Canis lupus familiaris: one gene and its partner. The protein of the gene in region 1 interacts with the protein of each later gene in a pairwise test. Links are inferred from orthologs where the notes say so. Each region holds a gene or a part of one and is shown on either strand. Other genes may lie near its edges.

Evidence for each region. The genes of interacting proteins can lie anywhere in the genome.
Region 2: the proteins of TRIP6 (region 1) and NEDD9 interact in binary tests that used the Homo sapiens proteins (3 or more experiments, as listed by UniProt). The link is inferred for Canis lupus familiaris from reciprocal best matches to the Homo sapiens genes TRIP6 and NEDD9.

What each region holds. Positions count from the first base shown.
Region 1 is NC_049227.1:8,841,627-8,847,773, reverse strand, and holds TRIP6 (thyroid receptor-interacting protein 6), read left to right. Parts: upstream 1-1,173; 5' UTR 1,174-1,477; coding exon 1,478-1,586; intron 1,587-1,844; coding exon 1,845-1,972; intron 1,973-2,058; coding exon 2,059-2,184; intron 2,185-2,471; coding exon 2,472-2,849; intron 2,850-3,141; coding exon 3,142-3,235; intron 3,236-3,344; coding exon 3,345-3,514; intron 3,515-4,240; coding exon 4,241-4,419; intron 4,420-4,683; coding exon 4,684-4,804; intron 4,805-4,915; coding exon 4,916-5,047; 3' UTR 5,048-5,186; downstream 5,187-6,147. Other genes in the region: SLC12A9 (solute carrier family 12 member 9), read left to right, coding at 1-630. UniProt on the Homo sapiens protein: Relays signals from the cell surface to the nucleus to weaken adherens junction and promote actin cytoskeleton reorganization and cell invasiveness. Involved in lysophosphatidic acid-induced cell adhesion and migration.
Region 2 is NC_049256.1:12,182,051-12,189,898, forward strand, and holds part of NEDD9 (enhancer of filamentation 1), read right to left. Parts: intron 4,516-7,848; coding exon 4,069-4,515; intron 1-4,068. UniProt on the Homo sapiens protein: Scaffolding protein which plays a central coordinating role for tyrosine-kinase-based signaling related to cell adhesion. As a focal adhesion protein, plays a role in embryonic fibroblast migration.

The DNA of each region.
Region 1 (6,147 bases):
CCGGAGCGGCTGAGCCGGGGTTCAGGGGGTACCTCTCAGCCACATCACGTGGATGTGTGGCCTCTCAACCTGCTGCGGCCCCGGGGTGGGCCTGGCTACGTGGATGTGTGTGGCCTTTTCCTGCTGCAGATGGCAACCATCTTGGGCATGGTGCCTGCTTGGCATAGCGCCCGGCTCCGGATCTTCTTGTGCCTGGGGCCTCGAGAGGCCCCCGGGGCGGCTGAGGGGCGGCTCCGGGCACTGCTGAGCCAGCTGAGGATCAGAGCCGAAGTACAGGAGGTGGTGTGGGGTGAGGGGGCTGGGGCTGGGGAGCCGGAGGAGGAGGAGGAGGAAGGAGACTTTGTGAATGGCAGGCGGGGAGATGCTGAGGCAGAGGCCCTGGCATGCAGTGCTAACGCCCTGGTTCGGGCCCAGCAGGGGCGCGGCAGAGGAGGCGGGCCCGGTGGGCCTGAGGGTGCGGATGGCGAAGGTGGGCCTGCCACAGCCCTCACTTTCCTATACCTGCCTCGGCCGCCCGCCGATCCTGCCTGCTACACTCGCTACCTGGCGCTCCTGGAGACTCTGACCCATGATCTGGGCCCCACGCTACTCATTCACGGAGTCACCCCAGTCACTTGCACTGATCTCTGATGCCCGGGGCCTGGAGCAGAGGGTGCCCAGGTCCGGTGACCTGCTTTGATCAGTGGATGCAGAAGGGAAGGGCAGCCTCCCGCCTGCTCCACGTGTGGGGTGTGGAGCCCTGTGGAAGTACTAGGGGATCCTGGGCTGGGGCACCCCTCTGTCCCTGTGAGAGGGGCTTTAGTGCACTAATGCAGGGCAGCTGTGTCCCCACCACGCTGGGGGAGAAAGGCAGCAGCCCTCCCCACTGGCCTCCCTTCCTTCACTGGTGCCTTGATGGAGGCTGGGTCTCTGCTTTGACTCTCGGCTACCTCAGTCTCCCCTTGCCCAACAGACTCGCAGACCCCTGAGGTTGTGATGTTTTTGTTCTGTTTTATTTTTCTAACCGCTGAACGTGAATAAAAGACCAAAACACTATGGGCTGGCCTGGCTGAGCACTGCTAGGGGCGGTAGGTGGGGCGGGAAGAGAGAGATCTGGTTGGGGGAGTGTGGGAAAGAGCCGCGCTGGAGCGCGTCCCAGCGGCGAGGTGGCCACGTGCGGGACTTGGGGCGCCAGTCTGGGGGAACGAGTGAAACGGAGGCAGCCTTGGAAAGCTCTCCCTGCTCGGCGGGAGGGGGCCGACTGGGGGAGGGACGGCAGTTTAGGGCCTAGGGGGCCACGTGACCCTCCCCCAGGAATGTGGTGACGTCACCGGGGGCGTGGCTGTCCCCAAAATTGGGGAGGAAGGGGAAAAAAAAGGCCAGAAAAAGTTTCTTTCCTGGAGTTCCAAACGAGGTGTGGGACAGAAGAAGGGGCCAAGACCAGAGTCTTGGGGCTACGTGGGGCCTGACCGCTGTCTAGAGTCTCCTGATCCCGGCCATGTCGGGGCCCACCTGGCTCCCCCCAAGGCAGCTGGAGCCTGCAAGAGCCCCTCAGGGGAGAGCACTCCCCCGAGGTGCCCCGGGGCCGCCGCCAGCCCATGGAGCAGGTAAGGCAGCCCCAGTGCCGCCAAGGAGGCCACTGGCCATTCTGAGCTCACCTTCGCCTTCTGGTTCCTGCCTCCTGCCCCTGGCTTGTCCCTGCCACCCCTTCCCTGAAGCCCTTCCGGCTTCCTGCTCCTGCTCTGTTCTGGGACTCCAAGTGTGGGGGGGGAGGGGAGAAGAGTGACCCATGAGGGCGGCCTCCATAAGTGTCACCCTCCCCTCCTTCCCCATCCCCACCTTGGCTCTCTTTTCCCTCACCCTAGCACATCAGCCCCACCCCAGGGTCAATTTTTGCCCCCTCCCATCTGAGCAGTGTTACCAGGCCCCCGGGGGACCAGATGATCGGGGGTTCCCCTGGGTGGGGTGCCATGGAGCACCCCAGCGCTCACAGGTGAGAATTGGAATTGGGAGTGGGTGGGAGGTGGGGGCACCCGGGGCAAGTGACTTGAATTCTCCCTGCTTTTTCTTCATCTCCAGGGGCTCCCCCCAGACAGGGGGGCCTTGCGTCCAGGAAGTCTGGATGCCGAGATAGATTCGCTGACCAGCATGCTGGCTGAGTTGGATGGAGGTCGTGGTCATGCCCCACGGCGGTCAGACCGGCAGGTGACTTCCCTGTCCCACCCCTGTTCCTTGTCTCCTGCCCTCTTCCACACTCCCCATCCTGGTCCTTTCCCTAGATTCTCAACCTGGTACCCTTCACCCTTGCCCCCATGTGTGATACATGCAGGAGTATCACATCTTACTAGATTGTCAGCCTCTTGAGTGCTTGTCAAAGACCAGCACTACCTTGGGGACACACACACACACACACACACACACACACACGTGGGAGGGCCCACAAGTGTGTGTCCTGGAATGGGCCTTCTCACTCCTGGTCTGTTTCTCCCCAGGCTTATGAGCCCCCTCAGCCCCATGCCTACCGCACAGGCTCAGGCTCCCTGAAGCCGAATGGAGGGGGTGTTCCTATTCCTCCCCAACAGCTCTCAGCGTCTCCCTATGGGGGCCCCACTCCAGCCTCCTATGCTACAGCCAGCACCCCCGCTGGCCCTGCCTTCCCTGTGCAAGTGAAGGTGGCACAACCAGTGAGAGGCTGTGGCCCTCCCAGGCGGGGGGCCTCTCAGGCCTCCGGGGCCCTCCCGGGCCCTCACTTTCCTCTCCCAGGCCAAGGTGAAGTCTGGGGGGCTGGCTATAGGAGCCACCATGAGCCAGGGCCAGGGGTTAAAGAGGAGGCTGCAGGAGGAGGAAGAGGAGGCGCGTATGGGCCCCAGGTAAGCCCTAAGTATTGGGATGTGGGGTCCTCATGGACAACTGGACACTGATTGGGTGGGGTGGGGAGTCCTGGGGTGTTGGAGTTCTGGGTCCCAGGGATGTGGCGCTGGTCAGGAAATAGAAGAGGGAGGTGCTGGAGCTGTACACTGGCTCCTGGAGGTGCACCCCTGGGCCCCGGGCTGAGACCTCGTCAGATGAGCTTTCTGCTTGGAACTGCCTGGTCCCCTTCAGGAAAGTCTGACAGCATAGGGAGCTGGAGGTAGGGCTGAACCCCTGACTCCCCCCTTTCAGGTCCCCCTGAACCAGCCTCCTGAGGAAGAGCTTGAGAGGCTGACGAAGAAACTGGTGCATGACATGAACCATCCTCCCACCGGGGAGTACTTTGGTGAGCTGACCTGAGGTGGGAAGGGGGGCAGGGGACTGGGGAGTCAAGGGGACAGCGAATCCACCTTCCATTCTGCATGCTTATTGACCCTGTCCCTCCCTGTCCCCAGGGCGGTGCGGCGGCTGTGGGGAAGATGTGGTTGGGGATGGGGCTGGCGTTGTGGCCCTGGACCGGGTCTTTCACGTTGGCTGCTTCGTGTGCTCTACATGCCGGGCCCAGCTTCGGGGCCAACATTTCTATGCTGTGGAGAGGAGGGCGTACTGTGAGAGCTGCTATGTGGTGAGTGGGTGTGCTGGGGGTGGCCTGGGTGCTGGAGTCTGTAGCAGGAGGCAGGAGGCTTCCATCTAAGGTAGCAGGAGGCAGGAGGCTTCCATCTAAGGTGGAAACTAGATGTCTAAGCACATGAGAGGGACAGAATTCAAAGGTGGGGGATGCCTGGGTGGCCCAGTGGTTGAGCATCTGCTTTCGGCTCAGGTGGTGATCCTGGAGCCCTGGATTGAGTCCCGTATTGGGTTCCCCCCAGGGAGCCTGCTTCTCCCTCTGCCTATGTCTCTACTTCTCTCTCCGTGTCTCTCATGAATAAATAAATAAAGTCTTAAAGGAAAAAAGAACTCCAAGCTGGGGGACTAAACTGATGTGTAAGAAGGAAGGAATTGGGAAAGTAGTGAAATTACTGGCTGCTGGAGGGAAAGGACAATAGTTCCTTACAAATGTGAGAGGAGGAGGAAGAAGAGGAGGAGACCAGACTTATCTTGAGTTAAGGGAATATGTTAAATTTCCACACTGCTGCCCCTGTGAAGCAGCTGATACTACTGTAGGAAACGGAAGTTGAGACTGGATCACTTCTGTAGGAAGCTACAGTGCTGGGACTTAGATCTGTTCAGGGCCACTTTTCACTGAATCCCTTGCAGGCTATAAAAACAGGTGGGTAGGCCAGCAGGGTGCCTGCCAGCCACCGGACCTCCTCAGCCCTGAACTTGCCACCCTTCCTTTCTAATTCGCTAGGCCACCCTGGAGAAGTGCTCCACATGCTCCCAACCCATCCTGGACCGGATCCTGCGGGCCATGGGGAAAGCCTACCACCCTAGCTGCTTTACCTGTGTGGTGTGCCACCGTGGCCTCGACGGCATCCCTTTCACAGTGGATGCCACCAGCCAGATCCACTGCATTGAGGACTTCCACAGGTCAGACTGGGTCTCCCATCTTTCTCGAGACATCTGACCTTCCCCATCTTCTTCATTTCTCCTTTATGTCCCAGTACCAGCTTCTCCAGTTTCCTACCCCGGACTTTGTCTTTCTTGTTACCGTCACTCTCTCTTGTGAGAGCCAAGACCATCCATCCCTCTGGCCTCTCCCGTACCCTTGCATAGCCCACCTTCTCTGGGCTGCACTGTTAGTCCCCTCCAACCCAGGGGCTTGACAGCCTCCGTTGTTCCCTTCCACCCCAGGAAGTTTGCCCCACGGTGCTCAGTGTGTGGTGGGGCCATCATGCCTGAGCCAGGGCAGGAGGAGACGGTACGAATCGTTGCTCTGGATCGCAGTTTTCACATTGGCTGTTACAAGTGCGAGGTCAGGGGGCCCCGGCAAGGGGAATGGGAGATTCTTGGGGTCTGGGGTGCTGGGAATGGTAGAACCCAGGGCTCTGGCCCTGATAGAAAGCTCTTGCTTCTGTCTTAACAGGAGTGTGGGCTGCTCCTCTCCTCCGAGGGCGAGTGTCAGGGCTGCTACCCGCTGGATGGGCACATCTTGTGCAAGGCGTGCAGTGCCTGGCGCATCCAGGAGCTCTCAGCCACTGTCACGACCGACTGCTGAGCCTTCCCAGAACCACCTGTTACGTTTTCCCTTCCCATCAACTACCCTCCCTGACATCTATCCTGACAACTGTGTCACCAAGTACTGTCTCTTCTTCCTCCAATCATGAAATAATAATCCCTCAAGAGTTTACAAAACACTTAAGTGTATTGTCTCATCTGATTCTCACAGCAGCCTAATGCAAACACATTTGTGGTGACTGCGTTTTTACAGAAGCGATCTCAGGTTGCATGGTTTCCTAATGCAGTACCAAGATCAGAACCCGGGTCTCCCTAGACCTAGATTTTTGCAACTCCATTCTACACTCTTGCAAACGTGGTGTAAAGACACCCTTCCTCTCCGTGCTTGGAGTGAGGCTGCAGCATACTCCAAGGAGGCGGCCTTCCCTGTTCTTCAGCCTGGACACTCCACTCCCTGATCAAGGACTTGGTGTTCTCTCCGGGGGTGGTGGTGCGTTTTCTCTGGCGCAAGCCGGTCTCCGCCTGTTGATCAAGACCTCAACCTATAAGCTATCCCAACCAACTACTGGTTGGGGATAAGACAGACCTGCCGCCTTCGCCTCTTACGAAGAACAGCAGTAACAGGGTTTTGCAGGTGGTTAAATACCGAGGCGGCAATAAAGCTTGGGTCTCTGGCGCAGCACAAAATGGTGGGAGATGCTTTAAAATGGTTGCTCTATCCCGCTAAACGCCTGCATTCCCCAGCTCCCTGCCCTGCGCCAGAAGCAGGGGAAAGCAGCCCCACATGAGGGCAGGAGGCGCCCCGAGCTGGGTGGTCGGGGGGCAACAACGGGACACGAACTGGCTCAGATCCCCAGATCCCGGACACATCAAGCCAGAGGACGACCTTCGACCTCCGCGGGAGAAAGTTCTTTATACGCCCAGGGGCCCTACCGCCCTTCCGCGGCCTCGTTGGGTCCGTCTAGGCTTCCGTAATCCCTCCCGTCGGCGCAGTTTTCGTCCCTGAAAGCGCGCGAGACTTCCGAGTCCCCGCCCCCCTTCCCATCATCCCCCAGGGCTACCAGCCTCTCGCCCTGCCTGCGCTTTAAGTTCCAGTTCAGGCCGCGGGGGAGTAGCTTGTGGTTGGGGCCTCGTTCCGCC
Region 2 (7,848 bases), on another chromosome or scaffold:
GCATAATTGACTTGGGTTTGTAAATTCAGCAGTTGTATTAGATTTTCTTGAGCCAGGGCACATGCCTATGTAGTGTTCTCAGAGCCAGCAAGCTCCATCTTTTATCTAACTGCGTCTTCCCTTATTTCTTATTCCATTAAATCAGTCCATTCTTTTTCTTTATTTATTTAAATTCAATTTGCCAACATATAGTATAACACCCAGTGCTCATCCCATCAAGTGCCCTCCTCAGTGCCCATCACCCAGCTGCCCCATCCCCCCACCCACCTCACCTGCACCCTAATGCTCATAGCAGCAATGTCCACAATAGCCAAACTGTGGAAGGAGCCACGATGTCCTTCAACAGACGAATGGATAAAGAAGATGTGGCCTATGTATACAATGGAATATTACTCAGCCATCAGAAAAGACGAATATCCACCATTTCTTTGACATGGATGGAAGTGAAGGGTATTATGCTGAGTGAAATAAGTCAGTCAGAGAAGGACAATCATCATATGGTTTCACTCACATATGTGGGAAAATTCAGTCCATTCTTAATCTCAAGCCTCAAAGGACCCATTGTAGAGCCTTGGAATTTGCCGGTAAACGAAAGAGGAAAGCCCTCCCTTGTAATGCTCACATAAGCAGGATCCTGGTGTTGGCTATCACCCCAGTAGTTCACTAACATTATTTTCTCTCCAGTGTGCAGTTCCACCTGACATTACAGCATCTGCTTCTCTCCCCACTACAATGAAGCATCATGAAGGTTCATCCTTGTTCACTCTAGTTCATCCCTGTATCACAAGCATCAAAAATATACTAAATAAAGGGTTGCCTGCCTGCCTGGCTCATCCCATGACCATGTGACTCTTGATCCTGGGGTTGTGAGTTCGAGCCCCCAGGTTGGGTATAGAGATTACTTAAAAAAAATAAACAAGGGCACCTGGGTGGCTCAATGTTGAGCATCTGCCTTTGGCTCAGGTCGTGATCTTGGGGTCCTGGGATCGAGTCCTACATTAGGGTCCCTGTAGGAAGCCTGCTTCTCCCTCTGCCTATATCTTTGCCTCTCTCTCTGTGTCTCTCATGAATTAATAAAAATAAAATCTTTAAAAAATAATAAACTCTTTTAAAAATAAATGTATATATATATGAAATGCTTAAAATTAATTCAACAAACAGACTTCTATTTATGTCAAATTGTTGTGGCATCTGGAATTACATAAAGTGCTGAAGAGATCCTTCCTTTTAAAAAAAATTTTTTTTTTACCATGATGGTTTCCTAAGTATTCCAGCTCTACTATTTTCACCCACTGGCTCCAGCATTATTATAGGAATTAGTTGAACGACAAGAGGATGGCTCCTTTCTAAATTCACTAGTATCCATGTATTATTTTAAAGGGGAATTTTAAGAGGCCCCCTTAAAATTTCTTGCAGAGCTGGTTTAGAGGTCACATATTCTTTTAGTTGCTGCCTGTCTTGGAAGCTCTTTATCTCTCCTTCCATTTTGAATGAGAGCCTTGCTGGATAAAGTATTCTTGGTTGCATGTTCTTCTCATTTAGGACCCTGAATATATCCTGCCAGCCCTTTCTGGCCTGCCAGGTCTCTGTGGAGAGGTCTGCTGTTACCCTAATACTCCTCCCCATAAAAGTCAGGGATTTCTTGTCTCTTGCTGCTTTAAGGATCTTCTCTTTATCTTTGGAATTTGCAAGCTTCACAATTAAATGTCGAGGTGTTGAACGGTTTTTATTGATTTTAGGGGGGGATCTCTCTATTTCCTGGATCTGAATGCCTGTTTCCCTTCCCAGATTAGGAAAGTTTTCAGCTAGAATTTGTTCAAATACATATTCTGGCCCTCTGTCCCTTTCGGCGCCCTCGGGAACCCCAATTAAACGTAGGTTTTTCTTTCTCAGGCTGTCGTTTATTTCCCTTAATCTATCTTCATGGTCTTTTAATTGTTTGTCTCTTTTTTCCTCAGTTTCCCTCTTTGCTATCAACTTGTCTTCTAGGTCACTCACTCGTTCTTCCACCTCGTTAACCCTCGTCGTTAGGACTTCTAGTTTGGATTGCATCTCATTCAATTGGTTTTTAATTTCTGCCTGATTAGCTCTAAATTCTGCAGTCATGAAGTCTCTTGAGTCCTTTATACTTTTTTCTAGAGCCACCAGTAGCTGTATAATAGTGCTTCTGAATTGGCTTTCTGACATTGAATTGTAATCCAGATTTTGTAACTCTGTGGGAGAGAGGACTGTTTCTGATTCTTTCTTTTGAGGTGAGGTTTTCCTTCTAGTCATTTTGCTCAGTGCAGAGTGGCCAAAAGCAAGTTGTATTGGGAAAAAGAGAAAAAGAGAGGAGAGAAAGAAGGAAAGAAAAGAGAAAGAGAAAAAAAAGGGAAGAAAAAGAAAAAAAAAACGAAAAAAAAAAAAGGGAAGAAAAAGAGAAAGAAAAAGAAAGGAGAAAAAAAGGGGGTGGGGGAAGGATACAAATCAAAAAGCAAAATAAAACACAAACAAAAACAAAAACAAAAACAAACAAACAAAAAAAGAACCACCGGGGAGTATCTTCTGATTCTGTGTACTTTAAGTCCCTTGGCTTCTCCTGGAAGTTGTCCGTCTAGCTGGTGTTCTGGGGGAGGGGCCTGTTGTGCTGATTTTCAGGTGTTAGCAGTTGGGGGAGCTGCTGTGCCCCTGCCTGGTGCAGGGCTCAGTGGGGGTTGTTTACCCCGTGAGGCCGCAGGAGGAACAGCCCCAGTGGCGGGGCAGCTCTGGAAACCTGGATTCAGCTCCGGCAGGAACTCCGTCTGCAGGGCCTGGAGGCTCCGGGGCGGGGCCGCTGATCTGCTCAGCTGGGGCAGGAGCGTCCTTGCTGTCCTGGGCCCTCCCGGCCTCTGCCTGTCCCGGGGGAGGCGGGATCCTGGGCTGTGTCCCGGCGCCCTGTGCTCCGGAGCCTGCGCTGGTGGATTCGCGCTCCCGGGCCGCGCAGCCCCCTCCGCACGGAGCCTCTTCCTCTGCCCGAGCCCCTCCGAGCTGCTCCCGGGGCCGCGCAGCCCCCTCCGCGGAGCCGCCGCCCGAGCCCCTTCAGCTGCTCCGGGTCCCGCCGGGTCCCGCCGTGCGCGCTGCAGCCCTTAGGGAGCTCGGCGCACTCTCCTGGGCGCGCAGTTGCTGTTACTGTCCCCGGGAGCCCGAGGGCATCCCCGCCCTCCTGGGTCCTGCTCCAACTCCCCGCGAGCCCCTTTCCGCCCGGGAAGGTCGGTGCAGCTCCTGCTCCTCCGGGACGGGGCTCTCCTGTCCTGGGGACACTCGCCCCGGCCTCAGCCCGGCTCCTCGCGGGGCCCCTCCCCCTTGGAGGCCTTTTGTTCCTTTATTTCTTTTTCCCCGTCTTCCTACCTTGATAGATGCGCGAACTCTTCTCACTGTAGCATTCCAGCTGGTCTCTCTTTAAATCTCAGGCCGAATTCATAGATTTTCAGGATAATTTGAAGGTTTTCTAGGTAGTTTGGTGGAGACAGGTGATTTGGAGACCCTACTCTTCCGCCATCTTGCTCCTCCCTCCCATGTATTATTTTAAATGGGTCAACCTTGAAACTAACAACTCTGCAGAACAAGTTGGTTGGCATGACCCACTAACAGCTTCTTTGCTCTCTGGTGGGTTCTTTGTGCAGCCAGTTCAATGCGGACACGATTCAGCTTTTGATGAGAAGACAGTCCTTTCTGCATCATTGTATTTGTGTAAATTTGGTGCTTTGTACCACTCAAGGAGGAAAGAGAAAAGACGGGAAACTATTTCTGAGTCTAGAACAACCTAGGTCTAAAAGCAGGTCTATCAGAAAGACGGAAAAAACTTAATGATCCAGTTTGATCTGGAATGACACAAGAACTTCTAATGACATGGGAACAAAGTTTTGCTGACCAATGAATGGAAAAATGATGCAAAACTAATGCTCAAGGTCAAGTATTTAGTTATACTTACTCTTTAGAAGATATATTTACCTCTCGAAAGTTTTAAGTTCTTGTTCTGAGAACATTTCTATTGCTCTGAGTACAATGGAAACAAATAAGTAGGAACAGAAATCTTGGTCACTCACTCACCTTTTTGCTTAAGTGGGGACCATTAGCCGCCCCAATGCTTCTCTGCACTGATGGTGGTACTTGATACACGTCTTGTTCCTGGATACCATGGCTAGTGGGGACCTGGTAAATTCCCTGATGTTGGTAGGAAGGTGGAACTTGGTAGATCGTATCTCGAGGGGCACTGTGTGGGTTTGGCACTTGATAGAGCTTCTGTTGGCCAAAGGTCTGATGCATTAGTCCTGAAGTAGGCTGGTCCTGACCGGAGGGGGTCTCTTGAATGGGGCCAATCAGAAGCTTCACCCGGTTGCCTGGGACGATGCCTTGTCGACCATGTAAGGAGCAGAGCCACCATCCTTCCAGTCCTCCTGTGTTCTGCTCTATGACAGTCAGAATATCTCCCTTGCGAAAGGCCAATTCCTCAGCACACTCTGGGACATTGTCGTATAAGGCCCTTGCCATAAGATTCTAGGAAGAAGAGAACAGAGGGAAATGGTGTTAGAATGCTAGCTCAGTCCTTTAAACACCTAAAGCCCGTGCTCTTCTGGAGAAGCACACTTCCTGGAAGGGGGAGAAGAACAAATGTGAACAATAGCCTGTAAGGAGAAAAACAGATGGACGCAGACAAAACACAGATACGTCCGTACTGTGCCTGCCACCAGTGACGTCAGACTGCCTCCTCGGCGAAGCTCTGAACACCACAAGAGTTCTTCCCTCTAGCAGGGGATGCCGTGCCAAGGAGTTACGAGTAGCACTGTTAAAGAGTTCACTATACAGAACACTTTTCTTCCTTTCCTCAAGCCAGCTCGAAGAATAAGACATTCCAAGATATTCAGATGTGCCACAGCAGACATTTCTCAATCTTTTCATATATCGGAGGCAGGAGGAGTCAAAGACAATCCCAAATGACAAATGGTACACATGGCGTTTATATTTGGTGTTAAAGTGGAAACAAAAGTCGACTTATGTATGCCTTGGCAGGCCTTCCAAATTCTTATTCCCAGTCGATCAAGTTGTGGATACAGGGGGAATCCACAAGCAAGTGCTCTTTGCATGACAACCAAGCATGGAGCACAGGGTGACAGTAGTCTCTCTTCAGAGTTGATGGCAGGGGGCTACGAAGAGTTTACTGCGTGTAGGTAGATGCCACCTCTTTCCTTTTTTGGTCTTTTATTCATACCTTTCCTGAAGCCCCCCCCCCCCGCCCCCTGCCACCTCTTCCCCCCACTTCTTGAATCTCTCCATTCACATCAGAAAGGCTCTGCCTCCCCCTTTCAGGGGCCCCAAACACTCTCCCCCTTTGTATGAAGGCCTGTCTGGCACATTCAGTACTAAGCAGACAGCCCAAGTAGGCATTCAGCAGAGAGTGGGCAAGCGGTATGTGCTGACATTCTTGGACGCCTTTCAAAGGCTCCGAAGACTTCATTTCTTGGCGTTAGTCATGTTTCGCGGTACGATGGCAGCCATCACCACATGCCTGCTCCTTCCCAGCACACAGAGGAGCCGGGACGCTGTAAATTCATCACAGGCACTTGGAAAACTAAAAGTGATCTCTTCGGTGCTTCACGAAAGTGTCTGGATGCACCTGAGTCACCGGGATGCTGATCATTTGTGGGAGGAGGGACTGCCTATTGGGTGGAACATGTTTGGGACTTTACATATTCGTGGAATTTTTGGCAGTTGTTGTTTGGACTTCTGCCCCCTGTTTGCTTCTCTAGAAACGTGGACTTGATCTTCCAGCCCCGTGCTTCTCATTCCTTTAGAACTGACATACATTAATCATCTCCCCCTGTACTATGCCCCATAACCACAGTCTTGTGCTGTGTGCTGGGTCTCCCCTCTGGAGTGGGGGTTGGGGTTGGGGGCTGCATTATGTAAGCAGTTCCCTTCTCATCAGTACCTGGGAGGAGGTCCTACTTTTACTGTTAATCCTCTTAGTGTTACTACTTAACCTAATAAAAAAGAGGTCAGTACCCAGATGATGCTTTTGAAGAATAAGGCTGAAGTTCTTATTGGTTACAGTTTGGGGATCCAAGAAGTCTGCAATGTAGACAGGGAAGCTCATGGGAAACTGAGGGATTTGTGTTCTGAGTGAAAGTTTTACTTAGTATTTATATGCTAGGAAGCTTTGGGATTTTTTCCTAACAGAAACTCACATACACAAAGATAAAATCATGCAGCATACTATCCTGTCTTGAGGAACCACTTAAGAATGTGTCATAATCCTAAAATCTGTTTCTCTTCTTCCATCTCTTGAGTGTTCTGTAACTTAAAAGAAAAGTCAGTTACGGACGACAAGGTTCTGGGCCTTTGTACCAAAATAATCTGATGGAGATCACTCCACTCAAGAAGAGTTGTATTGTGATGATAGAGGAGGGAGAGAGTTGAGCACTATGGTCTCTATCCCTTTTGCTGGGGCCCATACCATGATTGGGAATGGCTGGTAAGAAAGCCTCGAGATGAAATCAGAAGTAAGAGAGTCAGGATCCGTTCTATGGAAGCTGGGGGTGGGTCGCTGGACGACTGTAGGGGCTACAAAGAAAGCAAAGAAACAGAAAACAGCAGAAAGGCAAGGGACTATGGACCTAATCAGCATAAATAAGCTCAAGGCATGTGGAGTTGGGTCACTGCCATGGGACTCCAAGCACTGGAGCGCTGGGCCGTGCTTGATTAGAGGCAGATAGAAATCCCCATGTGAGAGTTGTTCTGGATGTTCTTTGTCTCCCATCCCAGTGACCTTCCCACCACCTGGTTAGCAGCATGCTAATGTTTCAGATGTGCCTCAAGACCTGGTTCTCTGGGAAAACTTTCAGAGACTGTTGTCCTCGCTAACAGAGAAACCCTGGGTGAGTCCTCCTGACTGGTTGTCCATGACTCCCCATCAGTCCCCTGCTGCCCTGAGAAATGAGAGGATTTAGGAAGAGAGTTTAGCATGACCATTGGTGGCATGCACCCCCCAGTGCTAGCCTGACACCTCACATAATGACAGATATTTACAGCCTTGGCTGAACAGGAGTGAGTTACTTAATATTGGTGCAAGCTCCAGAGAGTCAGCATCTACACATAGTCTACACACACCCATTACTCTCCCATATGGAAGGTTACATGCATGCAGTTCCAGAGACCTTTAGAGAACTGGACCCAACCTCTCTGTTTTATAGATAAAGAAACAGGTCTGGGGAGGCCAGCTTATCTTTTGCTCAAAGCCACAATTTTGGTGTCAGAGATGAGAACAGAACTATGGTCTCTTGGTTCAGATCTCTTTCTAGAACTCTAAGCCAGCTTAGCTCAACTACACAATGTCTTCCCAACTGGGCTCAACTCCATTATATAGGGAAGTTCTGAAAATGACAATTCTTGTCGTATCTATAGAATAAATAGATTATTTCCCTTTGTGCCTTAACTTCCTCATCTGTAAAATGGGAGTGAGGGTAACAGTACCTATGGCGCCTACTTCATGGGTTTGCTGTGAGGATGAGCTGAGTTAATCCAACTCAAGTACCTTAACACTGCTGGAGGGCTCAGGAAGCTATTGTGACAATTTATTTAGTTTGCTGGATGGCATTTTGGCCTTGGGCTCCCTCCTCACTCAGCCTCCTGTCAGTGCTCAACAAGGGTTGGGTTAGTTATGCTAGAATTTATATATATATATATATATCCATATATTTATACACAGCTGATATTTCTCTTGCTTTCAATTACATATCAGGAGAACTGTATCTTGCAGTATTTCTCTGAATTAATAACGAGTCATGGTCACTGCAACCCCTTGTGGAATATTTGCTTATAAACAGCAAATAT